4 linked regions of the Cricetulus griseus genome follow. The protein of the gene in region 1 interacts with the protein of each later gene in a pairwise test. Links are inferred from orthologs where the notes say so. Each region holds a gene or a part of one and is shown on either strand. Other genes may lie near its edges.

What was found. The genes of interacting proteins can lie anywhere in the genome.
Region 2: the proteins of Egfr (region 1) and Got1 interact in a protein complementation assay, tested with the Homo sapiens proteins (2 studies listed by BioGRID and IntAct). The link is inferred for Cricetulus griseus from reciprocal best matches to the Homo sapiens genes EGFR and GOT1.
Region 3: the proteins of Egfr (region 1) and Txn interact in binary tests that used the Homo sapiens proteins (3 or more experiments, as listed by UniProt). The link is inferred for Cricetulus griseus from reciprocal best matches to the Homo sapiens genes EGFR and TXN.
Region 4: the proteins of Egfr (region 1) and Gsn interact in a protein complementation assay, tested with the Homo sapiens proteins (2 studies listed by IntAct). The link is inferred for Cricetulus griseus from reciprocal best matches to the Homo sapiens genes EGFR and GSN.

Annotation. Positions count from the first base shown.
Region 1 is NW_023276807.1:89,399,407-89,404,855, forward strand, and holds part of Egfr (epidermal growth factor receptor), read right to left. Parts: intron 3,473-5,449; coding exon 3,404-3,472; intron 2,613-3,403; coding exon 2,494-2,612; intron 1,487-2,493; coding exon 1,345-1,486; intron 1-1,344. UniProt on the Homo sapiens protein: Receptor tyrosine kinase binding ligands of the EGF family and activating several signaling cascades to convert extracellular cues into appropriate cellular responses.
Region 2 is NC_048596.1:18,043,389-18,049,451, reverse strand, and holds the start of Got1 (aspartate aminotransferase, cytoplasmic), read right to left. Parts: upstream 4,011-6,063; 5' UTR 3,918-4,010; coding exon 3,800-3,917; intron 1-3,799. UniProt on the Homo sapiens protein: Biosynthesis of L-glutamate from L-aspartate or L-cysteine. Important regulator of levels of glutamate, the major excitatory neurotransmitter of the vertebrate central nervous system. Acts as a scavenger of glutamate in brain neuroprotection.
Region 3 is NC_048595.1:85,907,831-85,913,766, reverse strand, and holds the start of Txn (thioredoxin), read right to left. Parts: upstream 4,011-5,936; 5' UTR 3,878-4,010; coding exon 3,854-3,877; intron 1-3,853. UniProt on the Homo sapiens protein: Participates in various redox reactions through the reversible oxidation of its active center dithiol to a disulfide and catalyzes dithiol-disulfide exchange reactions.
Region 4 is NC_048599.1:147,072,787-147,078,772, forward strand, and holds the start of Gsn (gelsolin), read left to right. Parts: upstream 1-1,976; 5' UTR 1,977-2,104; intron 2,105-5,986. UniProt on the Homo sapiens protein: Calcium-regulated, actin-modulating protein that binds to the plus (or barbed) ends of actin monomers or filaments, preventing monomer exchange (end-blocking or capping).

The DNA.
Region 1 (5,449 bases):
CTGTTTGTGTTCTTTTTCTTTCTCTCTCGTTTTTTTCTAAATAGACTTTCATCATCTAAATCTAGGTAGGCAAAAATCTCAACCTCATAGTTAGTTTCTCTTTCACTTTTTTTTTTTTTTTTGGTCTCAGTTTTCTTTGGAGAGGGTTTGGTTTTTTGTTTGTTTGTTTGTTTTGTTTTTGTTATTTTTGAGACAGGGTTTCTCTGTGTAGTCCTGACTGTCTTGGAACTTGCTCTGTAGACCAGGCTGGCCTCGAACGCAGACATCCATCTGCCTCTGCCTCCCAGTGCTGGGATTAAAGGCACATCTGTCCCTGCCCAGCATCAGGATTGGATCTTAAGGCTCTTTATTCATTGCTTTACTTCTCTGTTTGACACTGATCTGTGTTGGCATTTCCCTAGAGGTCCCAGGAGAGTATAATCATACAAAAAAACAAAGCCTGAACCCAAAGGAGTAAATCAAAGCAAAACTAAAACTGCAATTCTCCAAGATCCCAACCAGAGTTTTTTTTCTATTCAAGATGGTGGATATGTTATTTTTTTCTAATTTAGGTCTGTTAAATACCAGCAGAGTACAGAGTCAAACAATGATTAGTCCAGAAGGTTGTGATTTTGTGTTAGTCAGTGCCAGGACACCTCAAGTTACTATAGTTGTCCTCAGACTTGGGGTGAAACAACAGGCATCTTTTGTTACAAAGTCTGGTCACCAACTGTAGGATCAGTGCAGATGAAGCCACCCTTGGAGGCCAGGTGCCCTAGCTGCTGCAGGTTGCCTCTGCCTCTGTCGCTCAGCACTGAGCTGGCTCCTCACTTTTTGAAAAAAATTAATTAAAATTTTTCCTTTATTTTACATACCAACCAAAGTGTCCTCTCCCTCCTCTCCTCCTATTGCCTCCCATCTACCCCCTTTCCCCATCCACCCACTCCTCTTCTGTCTCCATCCAGAAAGAGGCAGGTGTCTCATGGGCTTGAACAAAGCATGGGGCATCAAGTCAAGGTAGGACTGAGATCCTCCCTCTGCATAAAGGCTGGACTAGGTAATCCAGCATGGAGTACAGGTTCCCATAGGGCAGCTAAGCCCCAGGGAAATGATCTCACTGCTAGGAGCCTTACAAACAGACCAAAGTATACAACAGTCACATACCCACAGAGGGTCTAGGTCAGTCCCATGCAGGCTCCCTAGCTGTTGGTCCAGAGTCCTTGTGTCCTCACCTTTGTATCTAGCTGGGCATGTGCTAACCTACCTGACAACAAGGCAAGCACAAGGGGCCCCAAACTACCCAAGACTCCAGCATAAGACAAAAGAGGACATGGATGACAGGAAAGTCAACAGTGGACAACTCACGTGGGCATTTCTTCACACAGGTGGCGCCAAAGCTGTACTTTCCCTCAGGGTTGACATCCATCTGATATGTGGTGGGGTTGTACAGCATCAGTGGTGGGCAGGTGTCTTTGCATGTGGCTTCATCCCGGAACTTATGACAGACCTGTCATAGGAGGGACAACATGCCTGCTCAAGATATTGCATCCAAATGAAAGAAGCACAGGGCCAGGCAGCCTGCAGGTCAGGCCAATGGCAGCTCTCAGTGCTCAGGAGTTCAGTGAGAGGGAAAAGAATCCAGTCAGCTTTTCAGGGTAGTCAGAAACATTGCCCTCTTGTAAGTAACAAGTACTATTTTTAAGTATACTGACTGCTGCAGTTGCTATAACGTAGGGTTTTTGATTAGAAAAAATACATCTCTATTGATTACAGGTGACAAAGAAAGGTAACCACGGCCAGGTAAATATGGTGTGACATCATTTTTAAACCCAGTTTATACTGGGTTTCTCTTATAAAGAGTGCTTTGGAAGACATTTTAGAATTTATCGTCAAAGGGCTGGCATCTTAACAGGAAGCTTCCATTCAGAAAGGGCGAGATCAAAGGTCTTAGCTCTTACTAAAAACTACATGGACGGTCATTCTCCTGTGCTGCTCTTAGGTCCAGCCCAGACTGTCCAAGTGTTAACATCCGGGGCTAGCTCTGGTTTGGGATTTAAGAATCTTCTGTTTGCAGAAACCATACGATATTCTAGACTCTAGCTTAGGATGGACTTCCTCTTCTGGAGCCCAACAGGGCCTTGCTCAGCTTTGTGCTAACCCCAGGAATCACATTCACTAGCCCGTGCATTCACAAGCTCTTTCACCAGAGCTTCGGTAGTGTCAGGGGAAAAAAGACACCATGGGATGGCATAGGGTAGGGGAGCAGCCAAGAGGCATTGAAAGATGGTGGGCAAAGTGGAATGGAGGGGACAATTCCAATGTCATACTGTGCAAGGTCTGTGTAACTGGACACATCTCAAGGGGTCTTACAGAAGCAGCTCTAGACATTTGTCATAATGCTGTTGCTGCTGTTGGCCAAGACAATACTTATTTACACTGTGCCCCACAGGAAGGCCCCATCACAGTCAGTGTGTAAAGCTCTGAGGCCTGCCTCCCCAGTGCCTACAGTCTTACCAGACAGTCACTCTCTCGGGGTCCTGTACAACCAGCGGCACACTGGTTGTGGCAGCAGTCACTGGGGGACCTGCCACGGCAACGCCGGGAACATTGCTGGGCACAGATGATTTTGGTCACTGAAAAAGAAAGATCACCAATGAGCTGCATCTAGGTGGCAGCTTATCTTCCAGGGGCCTGGAGGAACACTTGCATGCAGTAGAAAGAAACAGATGGGAAGATGGATGGATTTCCTGACTGTGGAACAGGCTTTTAGGCATTCACATTCAGCCAAACTGAGTATCATCACAACCTTCCCCTCAGTATATCTCTTATCATTTATTTCAAATCACTTAGGAGACGTGATTAAAGCAAGTCTGTCTGATCAGATCTTTTGAATGAGTAGATAGTAGCTAGAGAATTCTTGGTGGTACAGAAAGCACACAAGCCAGAAGAGCACCTGACTGGACATGGTGTTTAAAAGAATGGATAGTTATGTCACAAAGGCAATGAACTGTGGTCAGTTTTGAGGCTGATACATTCCTGGGTTCTTTAATTAACTCCAGCAACCATGCTGGAGTTAATTAAACTTTTTAAAAAGTAGGATTCACACATATGCTCCCTGGAGAAACCCTTGGTACTAAGAAAGGGGGAGTAGGAGCAGAAACAGGGCATCCTACATAACTTAGGCACTTGGGTAGCTGGCTTTTAGGCATTTTATGATGGTCTGAAGTATCCCAAATAGTTAGCCTTTGATGGCTGTGTGCAGTTGGGTTGGCAAGACCAACACTCATGAAATAGTTAACACTGGGTCCATTGCCAAGTTCCTGTACTCGTCCTGTTACCAAAGTGTAGGAGAGGTGGGCCACACACTGTGTGGACTCCACTCACAAGGGCATGTTTCTCAGGCCCCAGAGCTGTGCTGACTTACATTTCTGGCAGTTCTCTTCTCCTCCTCCCCAGCAACTTCCGTTCGGACAGCTCGGATCGCATTTTTGGCCTGAAATAAAAATCTATTAGTTAAATGCATACTTCAATAAAAGTGAACAAATGACATGAAACCAATGATGCCTCTCCCAAGGCCCTAGAGAATGTTCTAGAAACAAGGAACAGTTTGGAAACTTCGTATTCATAGTTGGCTTGGATGCTTTGTAGGGTAAACTAAAAGACTCTCGTGCAAGAAAGGAAAACTGTGAGCCATGGACTGCTTTTGTTTGCACTTTAGCTTTGGAAACTGAGAGAGAGAATACCTACTGACTTGTCACAGGCACACAAATGACAAATCTAAATGAGTCCAGGGTCCGAGAATTGCCACCTGCTTTGGTTTCTCTTGACAGATTGACTCTGCGTAAATTCATTCAACTTGCTATATCCAATCTTGACTGACTTGGGGGTAGAGTGGGGCAGGCAATCATCACTGAGTTTAGGGATGTTAAATCATGGCTGGTAAAAGCACCCTTCTCCTCCAAGTCATGGAGTAGCACAGAAAATGCCACAGGAAGTCAACATTCTTATTCTGTGAATCACTTGGCCAATTACCTAAAACTTCAGTTAATAGTTGGCACGCTACTGTCTGGAAATCTTTGTAATTAATAAGTTTTTGTGTTTTTGTATTTGGCCCATATCAAATTGCAGCTACAAAGATTTTTTTTAATATCTTGAGTTCTGTTCTGCAATTAATCACACTGAAAAATGTGGAGATCAAAGTGTTAGCGAACAAGTTTGTTGAAAAGTTCTACAGAACAGATTTGTCCTTCTTTCCTTTGCTTTTTGTGGTTCAGCATACTTAACATTTCCATTAGGCTTTTAAAGACCACTCTGTCTAGTTTTAAAACCTTCTTTGGGGCAATCAGATATCATATAATGTAACTTTGTTTCACATGGAAGCTTATTTGGTGGTGTTTAAATTTGGCTTTTCAACTTAACATTCATCCTTACTTTCCTTTCTAGTACTTAAATGTATATTAATATTTTATTACATATGCTTAATACATATTTGGAATTCATATTGAACCATGGAGTAACTGCTGAATTTATTTATTTTCTTTCATGTAAAGCTATTTTCTTATAGCCTCAAATTCTAAGCTTCATCAACAATAATATACACTGGTCACAGTGGGCCATTCTTCTGAATCTCAGACATCTCACCTATGTTACAGTGAAATTCACCTCATAATACTGTGTTTGTCATTGTTAAAGATGGAATGCAAACTTCTCAAAAGGCTTGTGTGTTTGCAAACCACTGGTCAGTGGAGGAGAGGAGAAGATAGGAGACACCAGAGACAGATTTCCTATCTTCTAGTATGGATAACTCTCATGTCCTTACTTGATTTTTAAAAACTCTGCTATGGCTTTGACACTTTGGCCATTTGTCTCTTAGTCTTTGTTATTACAGAACAATTTATCAAATGAATTCTTACTTGAAATTCCACTTATTTATGCAATTTTGTTTCAGTTAGGCTTATTCTCAAGACTAGTGTTATAGTTTGGATATACAAGGACTCCTAGAGGCTCATGTGTTAACAGCTTTATGTCACAGAAAGATGGCAGAAACTTGAAGAGGTAGAACTATTGATCACCCTCGCAAGATGTGCCCATGGTTGCAATAGTGGCATGAACATTATGAGGGGAAACTAACCATTCTCTAGTTGCACTTAACATCTATCCTGCAGAAAGAAACATGTGCCTCTACCGTAAATCTGGTCAATAACTCAAGGCTGGGAGCTCCTAAGCCTTAGGGGAGAGCTTACTACTATTATTTTGCTAAACAGATATAGCATCAAAGTGCTTTCAAAACACTTAAATCTGGACCATAGATTAGAGAGCAGTCCTCATAAGAGAAGCTTTCTCGTGTAGTAAAAGATAATTACTACAAAGACTTGTGCTGGTCAAAGTGCAGAGAATAAGTGTCTGTGGAGTGCTCAGCTGTACACAGGATGTCTGTATCACAGTCCTCACTCCTAAGGCTCTAAGATCA
Region 2 (6,063 bases), on another chromosome or scaffold:
GAAACAGAGATGGACTTCTGAGGAAGCAAAACTAGAACCCAAAGACTAAGCACACACAACAGGGGGCACCAGTGACAGGGCTGCTGGCGATCCCAATGCCCATCTAGTCTGGATAGTGAGTGGGTGGTGCGTTAAGGAGCTAATGGAGACACAGAACATATGGCGGCAAATAAGAAGGGTACTAGGTGAGGAGATCCAGGACGGAAAGCTCTCATAATTATAGACACTAGTGGAAACTGAAGGCCCGGTAATAACAAGGATTTACTAAATACTCTGCACATTTCTTTCTTCTCATTTAATTATTTTAACAAACCACAAAATAGATGGGTATTAGGAATCAGGAAACTGAGGCCAGAAATTATTTGCCAAAGATAAGAAGAGTTAGGCTGACTCTACTGAGTCCAACAAAAGCTTGCTTCCTTTCTTTTTGATTTTAATAGGTGATGCCCAAGGGAATCGAGAAGCTCTGAGCCCAGAGCACTTTATCAGGACCCATTTTATCAGCCGTGCTGCTGAGCTCTGCTCTGTGGTCCATGGTCCTTCTTCCTGAGTGAGCTTCAGGGCAGTCACGCAGGCTGTAAGCAGGCCCAGCAGTCTCGCTTGGGAGAAAGGCAGAACAGAGTTGAAAAGTCCAACTCTCACCCGCATCTCCTCCTAAAGGCTCCACTTCCCTCGCCTATCCACACCCAAGAGCCCGTGCACATATGCCTCTAAGACCCCTCTCCACCCTGAGCTCTGAGAAACACCTAGTACAGCTCATTTAACCAATAATTAACATCTGGAGATGGAGAAGCCACACTGAAAATAACTGACTTAAACTAACCAGACCAAAAGAAGGATAAGTTCACTTTAAAAAAAAAAAAAGGGGGGGGGGGAACTGGGTGCTGGAGAGACAGCTCAGTCTACCGAGTGCCTACCACACACCCAGGAGACCTGACCAGATCCCAGACACCCACATAAAGAGCTGGTACAGAACAGAGGAGACAGGCAAATCCCTGAGCTCACTGGTCAGCTGGTCATGCCATCAGTGAGCATTGGGTTCAGTGAGAAACACTGTCCCAGAGGAAAAGGTAGAAAGCAATAGTGCAAGACACTTAGTATCAACAGCTGGCCTCCATGTGAATATATACCCTCACGATGCACACAGAAAAAGACAGAGAATAAACAAATAAATAACAAACAAACAAGAGATTTTGCTTCAGGTTGGACTTGTGTCTCTCTGTCCTTAAAGGCACTACAGTCAGAGGCTTTGAGAAACACTAAGCCCATCAACTCCATAAGCACTGCGCTTAACATTGAAGAATATGACACACTGCTCTGTTTAATGACAAGAAAACTATTGAAATCAGCCCAGCAAGAGGAAACATCTCTGAGGAAACTATCTGCAAATGGGAACCAGCTCACGAGATTACAGTAGCAGTTCATTCTAAAACTGTCCAGCATTGCTAAAACCGGAGTGGGGGAGTGTCCATTACCTTTGACCTTGGGAGGAAGCATCACTCTCACAGTAATTAATCTCCTTTACAAAGGTATGTATGTGTGTAAGTAAACAGGACATGTAGGTGCAGAACGAAATCATTTACTCCTCCTCTCTTTTGTGATTAGACTCCTAGCTGCCATCTATCACCCACACACAGCAGGTCACAGCAATGACCAAATAGGTTTATCTGAAACACCTTTCACTTACATATCACATTTCACAATTAATTGTTCTTTTACTCCATGGTCAGTAGATGGGGTCAATACAATTATTCCACACTGCATAATTACAGAGCGTGCTGGGCAATCCTGGAGTTGACTTTTGATAGACTGTAATCATCATTCAGGCCTGATACCTCATTCTACCTCAGCTTCAAGGGCATTAATTAGCCCTCATTTGACCACACAGGGGCCGGGTACCCAGGCAGGGAGCTCCTGCCTCTTCTCCCTGTAGGTTACTGGCTACCCCCAGGCCAGCTGAAAGTATCCCAAGCAGAGAAGCTGCCAGAGACCCTGAAGCCTGAGACCTGGCTAGAGTCCCAGGTCTCCCACCTAGGGGGTCAAACTATACTTTCTCCCAGGGCTTCAGCTTCCTTCCTTGCAAATGGGAGAGAAAACAACTCCCAGAATTGCCGTGGGCACACAGTGCACTTACATGCACAACTCATTGCTTATGTTCTTAGGTTCCTGGAAACAGTGATGGGTACCTGAGCTAAAGATTGCTTTGGGCTATCTGGACTGGAAGCCATAGCAGGGAGGATTTTGTGTGCATGAGCGCTTTATTTCTGAACCAGTGTCACAAATTATTTTGTTTTTCAGTTTGTAGGCTGATAATTTTTATTCAACTTCTTTTTAAGAGACCCACTCAAAGAAATGCCAAAACAACAACAGAAATAGCTACCATTATATAACTCCTGCTTATACTCCAGACTTCAGTCAAAGCCTGTGATGGCGTTTAGTCTCCGCAAAAACCCTGTAAGATGGGCCAAGAAGATCAACCTCAACAGTTCTTCTACATAAATTAGGCTATAAAGAAACACTTGGAGCTTCTGCACTGGATTTAAATAGAGAGCTTTTTTATTTTTATGCAAGACAATCAGTATTTCTCCTGCTCTGCTGGCTGCTAAAATAAAAAAAAAATCATAGTTCCCTCCATTGGAGGAACAACTAAACACTGGTTTTTTAGTGCTTTATTTTGAGAAGTTTCAAACATACATAAAAGTTGAGAAAATAATGTATATCATTTATGCCCATCACCCACCATCAATAACAGCACTTCAGGATTGTCTCTTGCCCCCTCCTATTCTTTGATGAAGTGTGTGTCTGCGTGTGTGTGTCTGCGTGTGTGTGTCTGTGTGTGTGTGTGTGTGTGTGTGTGTGTGTGTGGTGTGTGTGTGTGAGAGAGAGAGAGAGAGAGAGAGAGAGAGAGAGAGAGAGAGAGAGGATGGAGGGAGGGAGGGAAAGAGACAGAGGGAGGGAGGGAGGGAGGGAGGGAGGGAGGGAGGGAAAGAGACACAGAGAGAGAGGGTGGGTTATGTACAATTTCTTATAAAGATCTTGATTCCGAATCCCCTCGGCACAAATCTTTCAAACCTTCTAGCGCCTTTAATTCCTCGTCTTACTCACTTTTCTCTCCTTGACTGGCCTCTGTATATGGACAAATGTAAACCAAGCTCCCTGGAGCGTCCCACATCAAAGCGACAGTTTTAATAAAAGTCGCCGGAGGCTCCCGTTAAAAGGAGTTTCAGACAGTTTCCAACACAAACCTCCTTAGCAGATTGTTCAAGGAGAACAATCAGGAAACGAAGACCCAGATGTGTGGGCCCCGAGCTGGGCTGCACCTCATCGGCTCCACTCTGAGGATAAACCAAGCCTAGATCTTGCCGGGACCACGTGGTTTGACGGGCTTCCTAACTGGTACCTCCCGCTCACTCAGCCCAGACCGCAGCTCCGTTAGGCTAACAGCTCTTCCTTCCCACTTCCCGGCTGACCACGACCCCAAAGCGACCAGACTTCTCCCTCCTTACAATCCCTGGCCATCTTGCTGCTTTGGAACTTGTACTATAAAGCACACAGGATGGAGAATCAGAAAAACTACGTTTGTGCCCCCACATGCTGCACCTGTTCTGCGTGACCTTGAACACACCACCTCTTTCCAAGGACTCGGTATCACCATCTGCAAAATGGGCAGGTTGGTGGATGCCCCCCTCGTGGTCCCAGCCTTCTCTCCCGGGCCCCCTCTCAGGGAGGCAACAAACTAAGCCTCGGCTCCTCGCCGGGTCCCCCATGCTGCTGGCATTCCAGGGCACTACATCCTTACCTCCCACGCCGAGGTTAACCTTGAGGGGATCTGGATCCTCCCGGAAGTCTGCAGTGAGCTTAAAGACCAGAACTGGAGGGGCCTGCGGAACCTGGGCAAAGACTGACGGAGGCGACATCCTGATGGAATCTGCCGAGACCTCGAGCGCGAGCCCGGAGCTACTAGGTGCGGTGACCGGAGGAGAGGCTCACCTTCACCGGCGGGCGGGGGCAGCCCGCGGCTTCCAATGGCCGAGCCGCGTCCGGAACTTGGCAACGAACTTAGCCAATCACAACCTTCTGACAAAAATGGGTGAGGCGGGACAAGTCTCTATGAGCCAATTCAAAAAGAGAATCTTATCGGAGGCTCGCATGATGCAGCCAGTGAGATTTACACCGGAGGAGGTGTGGGCGGGGGCAAGGGTGATTGGCACAGCTTGTTCCAATCGCTGAGACTTTTATTCCTTGCGGTGATGAGGATGTTGCGAGTGGCTGGAGTCCCCAGAGGACACTCCTTGACCTTCTGGGGCCTGGATCCCTGGAGCAGTGGCCCGCCCATGCGTATTGCAGAGGACAGGTGTCCCAGTGACTCGCTGAGCAGTCCCCGGCAGTGCGCACGTTCCTGAGCTGGCCAGGCCGGGCTGACAGCCAAGTCCCCGGCATTTGTGCGCAGAACTCGAGTGGTCATCCTGGACACGCTGTACTCGAGCGCGGGTGACCTTGATCAGCTCCACTCAGTATGTCCTCGGAAAGAAACCCGGGAGTGCTGTCTGCCTCGATCGCTGGCAGGGGAACTCTGCAGAAAGTAAGGGATGAGCACATGCTAGTTTGAGGATTTTACTCCCGGGTTACTTACAGAGAGGGGGGCCTAGTCCTCAAGGACCTTTAAGGATATGGCGAGGCCTCCGTCTGTAGCCTTCCTCCCACGTGTGCTGTCATCGCTTGGCGGATACCCAAACTGCTGCTCCTTTTTGTCAGGCCGCAGCTTCCCCGAGACTGTTTCTGCCCACATCCTTTCTCCACCTGCTGGTTGACCTTGAAGATTCACATCTGTCAGCCCTCCATAAAACCTTTCCTTAGCCCTCAGTCTGGTTGGAAATCTCTCTTTCCTATGTGCCAGGTGTTTTGCTGTCGACCTTACAATTTTAGAAAATGTTCTGATGAGCAGAAACCTAGCTCTGGAGCCAGGAAAGTTAGGTTTGGAGGCTGGCTGCCACTGACTGCCTTGGGCAGGCCTGTTCCTGCTCTGTAAAGTGGAGATAATAGTGTTTTCCTCGGGGTTGTTGTGGGGATTATGTCAGTTAATACACATAAAGTGTTTAGTTGCATACAGTAAGTGCCCTCTAAATACTAGCTTTGTTAGTGCACATCACCCCCAACCCCTTGCAAATGATAGGCCGCTTTGCCTGGGATCTGGCAAACATCCCTTCATTCCTTACACTAAATATCCAACAAATGCTGGAAGGAGCCAGTTCCTCGGTATTTCGTGAGAAAACAGCATCATGGCTTCCTTAGGAGAACACGATAAATCTTCACCTGAGTTTTCCATCCAGAGGATAAACACAAGCTAGGAGCTTTGAGCAGTAGCTGCTGACCTTTTCTGTCCTTTCCTTTTTTTTTAAGGGATCTGCCCACAGTGAGTATTTCACTGCTTCCCTCTACCAGTCACAAGCTAACCCTGAAGGTCCAACAGCCGTCATGGACTTTCAGTGCGTCCAAAAATCACAGCCTGAGGGCAACTGTGGAGGGGGTAGTTTCCACAGCCTAGCCTTCCTAGAATTTGATTTGCAAGTATGGTCTTCACAGCGTTAGCCAACAATGTCATGGTCACTCCCTGCGTCATTCCCAGAGAGAAAAGCAACCCTAGGTTACCTAAACACTGTCAGTGTGGCTAAGATCAAGTAAATATTTCTCTGAGTGTGTGTGTGTGTGTGTGTGTGTGTGTGTGTGTGTGTGTGTGTGTGTGTGTGTCGTTCTGTTAGGTACAAAGCAGCACATGTGGGGTAAATATGCACCTGTGTGCACAGGTGTGGGGGCCAGAGGTGAACAACAGGAGTCTTCCTCAGTTGCTCTCCACCTTATTATTTGAGACAGGGTCTCTTACTGAACCTAGAACTCACAAATTCTATTAGATTGTATGGTCAATGAGCTCAGAGACTCGTTGCTCATCAATCAGCACAGGAGTTGCAAGCATGCTATCACACTTAGCTTGTTCGTGGGTACTGGGGATCCAAACTCACTTCCTCCTTGCACAGCAAGCTCTTTTCCAACTGAGTCATATCACAG
Region 3 (5,936 bases), on another chromosome or scaffold:
TCCAGGATTGAAGAACACTCAAGACACAGTTAAGCAACAAACAAGTCACAAGATAGCTAACCAATGGGGAAATAAAAGAAATTGTCTAGGGTGAAACACGGGAAAGATCCCCAACCCTTCCAGAGTCCAGGAGACCGACCTTCCTACTCAGGCCATCATTGCATAAACAGATTTTGTGTGCTTGGCTTTAGAGTGTGAGTGAGTGTGAGTGTGTGTGTGTGTGTGTGTGTGTGTGTGTGTGTGTGTGTGTGTGTGTGTGTGTCTGTCGGCACACAGAGGTCTGAAATCCCCAGAGCTGGAGCCATGGGTAGTGGGTACTGAACAAGGGTCTTCTGGGAGAGCAGGAAGAACTCTTAGCAGCTACGGTAGCTCTCTAGCTCCTCCTGTGTGCTTATTTTAAACAGCACTTCTAGAGTTGGGAATCACACTGCTTCTTTTGACTTTTGCCCTATGAATCAAAATGCACTGTTCTTTAGATGAATCCAAGTTTTAGTTCCTCAAGAAGAAATTTTTCTTTGGCTGTTTTGCTTAAGTAACACCTGTCACATGCAAGTCCCAGAAAAATAATTAACAACAGTAACAAAAAATCCCTCACCACCAACCTCCCTGAATTATTTACCAAAAGCCTTGATACTGTAACCCTAGGAACCTAACATTCTAGTTACTAGGGACTCATTTAAACTGCCATCAGTCACTTGGTGCTGCCTAAAACCAATACTGGAGCAACAAAGATGAATAAAAATAACCACAAACAGCTATATCTGAAGTAACATTTCCTCCAGGAGAGATAATGTTGGTCAAATTAATTATAAAAACTAGGACAGCCTGGCAGTGGTGGCATATGCCTTTAAACCCAGCACTAAGGAGGCAGAGGCCAGGCTAGTCTACAGAGTTCCAGGACAGCTAAGGCTACACCCAGAAACCCTGCCTCAAAATACTCAAAATAAATAAATACAAATTAAGAACCATATTAGATCTGGCCCAACAAAGGAAAGTAAATATTTCAACACTGTACAGTTAAAACACACACACCCAAAACAAACCTAATGAGTTTTCAGAGTATAGCTACTTTAAATGTTTTAAAATTTTTATTTTATGTGTATCAATGTTTTTGTCTGCATGTATCTATGTACATCACTTGTGTGCCTGGTGCCTTCAGATGCCAGAAGATATACTAGAACCAGAGTCACAGATGATTACAAACCACCACGTGGGTGCTGGGAATCGAACACCTGTTTTCTGAAAGACTGCCAGTGAGTGCTCTTATTCTCTGAGTTTTCTCTTCTCTTCAGTCCTGAGCACTTACTTTTCTGGCTTTTAATTTCTACCTCATATTTTTCAAGGAAAATAATCAACCACATATCATTTCTGAGAATAGTACAGAATGGCTATGACAACTTCTAAACACTGCCCTAGTTATACAGGTCTATCAGCCCATATCTGGGTGTGAACACAGCTAAGTGTTAGGGTCAGGAGGTGGGACTATAGTGCAGAGTAAAGGAAACCACCTTTCCAAACCACCGCTGGTTGTTGCAGACAAATTCCATACAAAACCTTCCCTTACATGATTACTAAAAAGGCCACACCACCCATTCTTTACTGCAGGACACAGGGCAAAGACGGCATGGCAGGCTGGTCTGACAACACCCACAAATGGAACATGACTGATCCTCAATAAAAATTTGATGACACTACATAAAAAACAGGATGAACTTCATTTCAAACACTCTCAAGGTTCCCCTGCTACCCAATGGCTATGAATGAAATTCAAGTAAAACTACTTAAAACTCTGAAAAAAAGAGGCTTGCAACCCTAATTTCTGGCTTCAGTGAATATGAGTTACAGAGATGTGTAAACTTCACAAATAAGATCTCTTCTCCAGATGTGTAAACTTGCCTGAACTGGCTTGAAGAGTATTCAAAATTGTCTAAGAAGCAAATCACAAATTTTAGCTTCAGAAACTAATAATCCATCACAATTAGGAAATGGTTCCATCACTGACACCGATGATCTGAAGAAAACAGTTGGAGTAGTTAGAAGCAGTTGCTTTGATCCCTCTTCTCAAATATTCCTAGCTCAGGGGCTGGCAATGTGACTCAGCAGATTAAGGTGCTTGCCACAAAAAGGAGAACTGAGTTCAATACCCAGGATCCCCAAGACAGAAGTGAACCAACCCTCCCAAGCTGTCCTCTGACCACCACAAGTGAATGCCCCACCCCTATACGTAAACGGAAAAGAAAGCAAAACAAAAGGCCCCAAACACAAAACCAGCCCAAAGGTAGCAATACAAAGTGTTCTTTGCTTTTTGAGACCGGTTTCACTCTGTAGCCCAGGACAGGAAGGTGGTGATCCTCCTGCCTCAGCCTCCTGAGTGCTGAGAGCCATGAGCCAACACCCTGGTCTAACATAGTCTGTAAAGCACTGAGCAGCATGCCTTGTGTGTAGTTCAATAAATAGTTTTAGTCTTAAAAATAAACAAAGCAAACCAACTGTTGATTTTTTAGCCCATCATCCCACTCCTGTCTGGAATCAGGGACCCTTAACTAACCGTACAGTCCATACAGTCCTCAGAAACACATGGTTAAACCAATCAACTTAAGCCCACCAGTATAACCCTAGGTGTATTCAATTAATCTCTGATTCGGGGCGACTCTGATCAGAGCCTTGTTAATAGGCCTTTGGGGCCCAAGGTTTTTATGAATAACTGGTTTCCTGTCCCCAATGCACACCTTTTCTACTGGAATGGCAAAGGTCCCATAAGTAAGACAGTTTAAACAGGTAAGGACCTAACTGGGTGCTGGGTCGAAAACGACTGATAGTGGGTGGATTCTGAGCAAACTCATGTACTGAGACCCACCCAACCAGGCCCGAACAGCTCATAACTGGAGGCGTGGGTCTGCCTTCCTTGGGCTCCCCTAGTTAGCTAGGTTAACAAGTTAACTAGGTTACCTTGTGAGAGTCTTCCAAACATCAATTCCCACCACCGCCCCTTTCACTTTCCACTTTACAAATATTCCCCGAGTAGTTACAGTGTAACAGGCTCTGACTTTCCCAATCTGGAGGATATTTTGGTTCTCAGTAACTTTCAAATATGGCAACAGTTTTTCCCTTAGGTATTTTTTTCTTTTCCCAAATGGCAAAACCTGGACTTTGTAGTGGACTACTCCCTGGGAGGAACAGAGCCCTGGTTCCAGCAAAGCCCACTTACAGCGGGTGAATCACTGAAATCTTAGCGTAGTGAGGCCCCTGGGCCCAGACATTGGGGACTGAGTCATTCCAAAGCTAGCGCTGCCGGAAACACGCCCTGAGCTGCAGGAGGAGGAGGAGTCCCACAGGCGGGGCCTGGACCTTTCTCCTTCCTAGTAGTTACCTGGAGCACCTGCCCGAGGGTCTCCAATAGGTACCGGCCCCCGTGCACCGACCGGGCACTGGTTCTCTAGGCAGTGGACCACTGATGGAGGCAAACTCCGGCCTAGCCCTGAGGCACAGGACACCCCGCGTTGTGTATGACAGTGTACACGCGAGGAGTGGCGGCTCTCATTTCTTCCCTGAGACTCCGAATCCTGGTTCAGACGGGGGTTCACCCAAGGACCCCCTCCATCGTTTCACCTCCGCCAGATTAGAGCTGGCGGTAAGGAGAAGGCTGGAGGCTGCAGGAACCCAGATCGGGGAACCCAGGTGCCGCCAGCGGTGCACCTCCGGTACCCGGCGTTCCAGGGTCTCCCCGTCCCCTCCCCCAGGCGTGCTCTACAAGCCCAGGGCGCGCACAGGCCCCGGGCCGCTCACCACGGGGATACAGAAGGCGACCAACACAGCACACGGCGGGGTGCGCGCGTCGTCCGGGCACGCGTACCTTGCTCTCGATCAGCTTCACCATTTTGGCTGTCGCGGGGAGGAACCACACGAGTTTCTGTAGGATCGGATGGAAGCGGATCCGAGATGCCTGACGGATCTTGCGGCGGATCGAGGCGCCCGCCTTCTCTTTATAGCGACAGGGCGGAGCACGGCGGGGCGGGGCGGGGCGGGCGGGCGCGTGCAGCGGGGACGCGCTCCCTGGCCTCCCGCGCCCGCCAAGCCGCCTCGGCAGGCCACACCTAAGCCACGCCTCCAAGAGGTGGAGCGGAAATCAGGTTTCCAGGGGGCGGAGCCACAGCCGGCTACTAGAGCAGCTCCGGTACTTCCCTAGTGATGGCCCCGCCCATGTCTCCTCCCTCTGCGCGGCGGAAAGCTGGCCTTGGTTTACAGGGGGAGAGGCTAGCGCAGGCGCCTGGAGCAGCTTCGGGCTCCCAGACACCGCCCTGCGCTTACACAGGGAAGTAAGTGTGCGTCCAGTTGCTCTAAGGGCATTTTCGTTGTGCACTACGTAGGGAGGATGCTCATAGTCCCCTCTCACAATCTGGAGTCCTTCTAGGATCACATTGGCCAGGCCCCAAATAGACCTAAGTCAGATACTTCCAGACTGGGCCTGGGGACTGCCCAGGCAGAAGTGTATCCTTCGACCAGGGCGGCCATGCTGCGGTTCCGCCTCAAAGTGCTGAGTAACGATGACTAGGAAGTGTCTCAGTGCACTCCTTCCCCTCCTTTCTGGAGATTTCCCTGTCCCTTCTCTCCCCCCTCCCCTTCCTATTCTTTAACTTTCGCGGGTGAACCTGCTACTGGAGAGGGACAGAGTCCTTTAGTGCCCTTTTTTTGTGCCCCATGCGCATGCGGGCATAATGGACATCGGATTGTCTAGTTCACAGCGTTGTCTCGAAGGATTTAAGGGCTTGAAAACTGACGAGGACAGCGCTGGGCACATAAGGAAGCACTCAATAAATGATTCTAATTATAGTCATCGTGAGCGCTAATTAAGCTTGCGTGGTGCCATGCCGGCCTTGCTGAATTTGGCTGCCTTGTATTTACAATGACAGTGTACATGCATTGCAGAAATTGTTCTGCCTTGGGAGACGCCAGGAAGAGTGTGTGCCAATGATAACTGGGGTGATGTGCAGGAGGAAGCTAAGACATTGTTAGGGTGGCTTTGTGCAGCCCGAAGCTGAGGTGGAGACTGGACAGAGCCAGCAAGCTGGGAGGATGTTTGCCAAGGCTGCCTTTTCAGAGCTGAGCAGATCTAGATAAATATGCATCCAGAGGTGAAGAGCTGGAGATGGTGAAACCGTGTCCCTGTCTCAGTGCCCCTACCACCACCACCACCTTTGTTCAGAACTAGAAGAAAACCAGAACTTTTGAACCAGTTGTGTGAAGTTTTTGGAGGGCTGAGGAATGCAAGTAATGAGTGAGGATGTGGACAAGACGGAACATTCTGAACCCAGCCCTAGACTGAGGGTGGGTGCGGCCCTGAAGGCAGTAGCCTTCCCTCTGAAGACAGCTGAGGCAGAGAGGACCCCTGAGCTGATGAACAGAATCTATAACATGCTTTTCAGCTGTTCTTTTCAGTCCAGCTACACTCCAGCTTCCTGGCTATTTAGTAGTTGGTGAATCTGTCTATCAAGGCCATGAAATCAGTGACCTGTAGGACCTGGTCCCTCCCTTAACTGACACTTCCCCATAGACCCTCAGATGTCCCCTGGCTCCCTGACACCTGTCCAGTCCCACCACACATAGGGTTAATGTGGAGGATGTTGCAAGTGCAGAGAACAAGGAACTGGGAGGTCAGCTTTGCCATCTCTCCTGTCTGCATCCTCACTTAGCAGCTGGGTTACTCTAGGCCAGTTTATTTAGCTTTCCCAGGCCCCAGTTTCTCTGTGAAATGGAGTTAATGCTACTTCTGGCTGAAGGTTTGAGCTGTGGTATGTGTAAGGTACTGAGACTTGTGCTTACTGCTTAGCACCACATGAAACTGACTGCAGTCTGTTAAACTGAAAGACAGAAGACATCTGTCTGAGATGAGGTCAGGGCCGGGGTGGATGGGGGGGGGACAATAAAACAAGGTAAGT
Region 4 (5,986 bases), on another chromosome or scaffold:
AGGGGTATAGTACAAGTGTGGGCTCCCAGTGAGAGGATCTGTGGGTGAGGCATTCTTGAAGGAAGCAGGCACCTCCGAATTGTTTACTGAATGACCTGTGCGGCCTTCATCTCTCTCATCCTCATTTTGAGGATGGGGAGGTATTCTGTCAAAAGACTACATCAAGATTCTTCCATTTGCAGGCAAGGATCCAGGACAAATGCACCTGACTGATGATGGGCTTCAAGATGTCCAGAAAAGAAGGGGATGGGACAAGAAGATGAATGGGACTCCTAGAACCCCTACAAAGCAGACCTGACAGGAAAGAACAGGTTAGAATATCCCCTGAGCATCTTGGAACACCAAGAAATGAAGGAGCAGGAATGTGCTTGGCCCTCCTCTGCAAGCGTCAATCATCGTAGCTTCATACTTTAATTAATTTCAGGAGATAGCTCTGCATTTTCCAGCCTAGAGTTATAGGAACAAGCCCTTTGCTCTCTTGACCTGTCCCCTCCTCTCTACCATGAGGGCTTGAACAAATGTTCTTGTGTTTCTTCTACCCCAATGTGATGCCCTTCAGCTCGAGGGAACACAAATTTAAGGTTCCTCTCCCACCGCTGGCTTTGGAAACAATGTGTATGCCTGGGCTCAGCATCAGTGGAAAGCCAAGCAGCTTGTGCTTTTGCCTCCCAGCCCATTGGCCCTACAGAGGGAGTGTAAGTTTCCCCTAGTGTGGACACTCTAGGTTTTAGAGGAAGTGGATCTGGGCAGTTTACCAAGCCAGGAAGGATGGCAGAGTATGACACAGGACATTGAACATATGAGCCACAGCCAAGTCTTGTTCACAGAGGACCAGACCCAGAGAACCCACCTTTTCTGTCGCTCAGTCATCTCTTCTGAAAACCATACATCGTGACGCCTCCCTCAGGAGACAGGAAAGAGACAAGGCGAAAGCTGGTGACATGAGAAGCATTGCAGATCCTAAAAGAGTAGGTGGGAGGATGAGCCAGCCTGGGATTCCCCAGGCCTTGTGGCTTCCCTGGCTACTTCTCAATGAAAGACTAAACTAGGAAATTCTGAGTTCTTCTCTCTCTGCCACTAAAATACCACTCTTGGCACCTAGTAATTACTAAATCCCGGAACATTTCACCTTGTGTTGGAGGGAGCTTTACTGTGGTGAACATGAGCTACTGTTGTACTGGAAGGGACATCGCATCCTGAGTGGTGTGAGAATTCTTCCAAAGGGAAGCCATGCTTGTAGCATCCTGCATCCTGTATCCTGCTCCTTTATAAATGCTCAAGTGTTGTCTGATGCAGTGGGGAGAAATCAATTCTTACACTTGCATGGAAGTGCCCTTCCACTCATGTTCCCAACCAGTGCCCTCAGGGAACATTTGCTTTTGCACTAATGTGAACATCTGTTTATGAGAGATGATCCTCTGTGTTTGCCATTGTGCTAAGTGTCTTTTCTCACAAAGTCGAGTCATGTCCCCTCCCACCATGAGAGGCTCATTTGATAAGTGGCTGCACTGAGCCTTAGATGTGTTAAGTTCATAGTTCATTGCCCAGAGTCCCCAGGCTGGACACATCAGGATGGGATTGCCTTGGCATTTCTCCTTCCTTACTTCTGGGTGACATTAGAAGAGATTCTCCTTGTTCTCTTCAGCAGGGCAAGCTGCTGGAGGACTGCAGATCACCTCTTCCTGCAGGGAGCTATTTCCCAGATGGAGGGCTTTGCCTCTGAAGGACCTCCCGGCACTGCTTTAGCTTTGCACCGCAAACTACCCACTCTTTGCCCCCAGCCTCGCCCTGGTGAACCCGAGTCTGCTCCTCACTACCTTGGGCCCCTTCAGAATTGCCCTCCATGTTCCCAGCTTCAGTTTCCTCCTGTGGACCGCAGAGGGCTTGGTAGACACCTTCAGGCGGACAGAGGATGAATGTTAGCCTGGAGCCAGTCTTCATCCTCCCAGCTGTGCTCCTCCCCCGCAGCCTGCCCCGCCTTGAGGGCGGCTCCGGTGTGTGCCCTGCCCATCCGGCCGCTCGCGCAGAGCACCCCGCCCCGACTCCAGGAACCAGCTGGGCTTACAGCTGGACTGAGCAGCCGCTGTTGCCCGCGCCGCCGCAGGTAAGAAGGCGGGCCGCTCGGGTCCTGGGCTTTCGGGGTGGGTTGAGCTTAATCTCCTCTCCTTCCCTTGCGTATCCGAGGTCGGATGAGTCTGGGGTTCGGCCCACGCGTGGGCATCTCGGGAGAAGGACGTGCTCGCTCACCTGCCTTCTCTCCAGGAGACCGAGGGAGGTGGCCCGGAGCTAGAGGTGAAGAGGAGCGGTCCATTCCGCCACGCCTAGATCCTCAGTGCTGCAGGCACTGGACCTCACCTCGACCCGCCCCGCGAGTGCGGGGAACTGGGCCCGAGTCATCTTTGCTTTGGGGGTGTCAGACCCCGAGAGAGGTGACTGACCATGCATGGTTTGAACAGTGGCCGGGTGAGGAGTCCGCGTAGTGGAGTCTTCACTCCTGAGCAACACCTTCCTCCTTCAGGGCCCAAAAACTGTTAGAAAGTTCCTCCTTGTGCGTGCCTGACATCTTCATGACCGTTCTGAAGGCATTTAGCTGTTTTATTTCCCGCCTTGCAGTGTTGCATTACCTTCCAGCCTGGAGAAGAAACTTCTGACCGAACGTCGACGCCTTCCTGATTAGGAGCACCTTATCTCAGGGTCTCCATCACTTTTCAGGTCCACTCTCCCCCAACTTTATTATAGCAACTTCCCCCATGGTCCAGGCTTGCCGGGCCTGCAGGGGAAGCCCCAGGTCTGAGAGCTGGGGTATACAGGCAAGCAGGAGATCCAACTGTAGGTTGACCCGAGCCCAGACATCCCTTTATTCCATTCTTAGAGTCTCCACAGAGCAGGGAGGAATCTTTTCACAGACCCAGGAGTTCTTCCTGGCATTCCTGGGTATGAAGCATTTGTGAAAGGCTAGTGTCTGCCTTTGTTTGACCTCTGGGACTTTTCAAAGACTTAATTCTGACCATCCTGTTCCCCAGGGACCATGATTCTGACCGGAGTACCAGGACCTCAGAGCCACTTTATATTGACCCCTTCTGTGGAGTTGCACTCCATCTCTAAGTGTGACCCAAGGGCCAGAGTCACACAGGGAGGCAGTGGCAGGGCATGGGCCCAGCGCCAGCCTATTCTTCCTGATTCCTTTCGTGGGACCTTAGACTCGTGGGTGTTTTGTGCAGTACTGGCCAGAGGTGTTATGCTGCCCCACACTTGGGGGGAGACTTTAAAAGAAAGAGGAAGCAGCAGCATGGGAACAGGGATCCGGTGGTGCCCAGCTTCTTTGAGACTGTCTTCCTTTCTTGGGCCTCCCTATTTATAAATGCCAGGGAAATCATAAGCAGCCAAGGGAGCTTGGTTTGGCACTTGTGTAAATTATCCAGAAGCAAAGATTTCTGTGTCAACCCCAGGAGGGAATTTATTCCACAATTTTCCATAGTCTTTTTATGAGAGCCTCACAAGAGCCAGGGGAAGCAGGCAGGCTTGCCTGTCAATCAGTTTCCTTCCCTCCTAACCTGATGCTCTGGGTCTTGACCATGGAGGGGCTCAAGAGCCCCAAGGAGGAGAGCACTCCCTATACTTCCCATCTTGACATATTTAGACCATACTCAGTTACAGCATAGTAAGAGGGGGTGACTAATTCAGTCTGGTTGAGCCAGGCCTTGGAAATGAGTAATAGTTTGCCAGAAGAAGAGGGATCAGGGCAAGAGCTATTCCAAGAAGCAGGGGCAGTTTGTGCAAAGGCGCTGAGTTTTTCTGTGCATTCTACATAGCTAGACTGGAGGATGGGGCAAGGTTGGAGTGCTGGAATTGGGACTGTGATGAAGACAGAACTGGTTAAAATAGGGACTTAGACTTTACTCCACAGGCAGTAAGATGCCAGGAAAGGTTTGTGACCAAGAACTCATTGACCTAGTGGCTGATGTGTGGGTGCAGGGGGAAGGGCTGTATTAGAGGCAGCGAGGCCCTGAGGATGAGTCTCGTGGTTGGCAGGCAGGTCCAAGCCATAGCAATGCCTGCTGGGATGGCCAACAGGTAACTTTTACCTGAAAACAGATGGGACGCAGCTACTTGGTAGATGCTGTTATTGTCAGTATCTCAGTGTAGTGGATTTTCTTCTTAAAAAATAGTTGTAAAATAAAAAGATTATTGCTGTAGGTTCAAAATGAGGGACAGGCTCGTTTGTCTTGATTGTCCTCCTCTTTCCTTTGAGGTGGACTGTCACAGTGAGCACTGTGCCTGGGAGGGAGCACTCCCTGCTTCCTGGTCCTCTGGGGCCTGACTGTGTGTGGGCAGTTTGGCTCTTAGATGACATGTGTCTGTCCACAGAGATGTTATCATTCTGGCCTGTAGCGCTTTGATGAAACACTGATCTTTGGTTTTCTTCAAGGAAACGCTTCTGGCCTGGGCCCACAGCTGTTGAGTATTTGCTGACCAGAGAATGTAAGAGAAATTACAAGTGCTAGCTTAGGTGTGGGGCTGCATTCTTAGTGCTTTTTATATGTCTGTGGTGTGTGTGTGTGTGTGTGTGTGTGTGTGTGTGTGTGTGTGTGTGTGGACACGTGTGTGCACATGCACGTGTATGTGTAGAGGCCAAAGGTCAGTTTCAGGCATCTATCACTTTTCACTTATTTTTATGAAAGTTTTTATTTACTATTAATTTATTATTACTGTGTGTATGTGTTATGTGCGTGTGTGGGTAAGCATGCTGGGGTGCACATGTGGCGTCCGAGAACAACTTTGCAGAGTCAGTATTCCCTTCTACCTGTACCTGGGTCTGGGAGTCAAACTCAGGCTGTCAGGCATCTGTAGGAAGTACTCGCTTCGCCTGGCCATCTCACCAGACCCTCCACTATTTTTTGATAGTCTCTCAGTGAACCTGGAACTCAACAGTTCAGCTAGGCTGCCTGGCCAAAGAGCCTCAGAGACTCACCTGTTTCTGTTCTTTCCACGCTCAGTACTGTACTGGAGGTACAGATGTGCGCCTGTTCACCTGGATGTACAGATGTGTGCCTGCGCACCTGGAGGTACAGATGTGTGCCTGTGCACCTGGAGGTACAGATGTGTGCCTGTGCACCTGGAGGTACAGATGTGTGCTGTGCACCTGGAGGTACAGATGTGTGTCTGTGTACCTGGAGATACAGATGTGTGCCTGTGCACCTGGAGATACAGATGTGTGTCTGTGCACCTGGAGATACAGATGTGTGTCTGTGCACCTGGAGGTACAGATGTGTGCCTGTGTACTCGCTTTTACATGGGTGCTGGGACTTGGTCTGCACAGCTCAGGGAAGACTGGAGAGGCCTCACAGTTATTTATAAGCACATATGTTCTTTACCATCAACAGGTTCCCAGAGTGTGGCTCAGTCTCCCATCTATTTTAGGAAATTAAGCCTCCTGGAAGCAGGCAAGGTCTTTTGTTAGCTGGGCTCCTGGCCAGAACTGGTCCTTCCTTTCTACTATTTGACACTCTTAGACATCCCAAAAGCCTGGGGAAAGTACATTCTAAGAAAATTGAGCTGAAGCAAAGAAAAGGGGGTCCCAGAAGTTATGTATGGTGGTGGTGGCGGGGAGGGGAGAGCAATGTTTAGGCAGCTGATGTTAAGTAAAAATATCTCCTCCCTTTCAGCTGAATGAGCGTGTGTCATATTTCAGCCTGGTGTGGTTTGTGAAGTTGGAGACCACAGGCAGGCTTAGTTCCTGCTGCTGCCGCTGGCTCCCCCTCCCCCTCCTCTTGAGATGTGTCTACTTGCTCCTGCCCTGCCTGGGACCACATGGGCAATTGCAGGGTAGGGGAAAGAAAAGCAGTGGGTGTGGTGGGTGAGGCTAGGCAACTAAAGGCTGGAGTTGGGGTCCTGTCTGTGCCACTGACAAAATGAAGGGTAAGATTTGGCTTCTGAGTGCTTTTTTAATGGACTCCAGTGTCCATTGCACACCATAGGGTGGGTG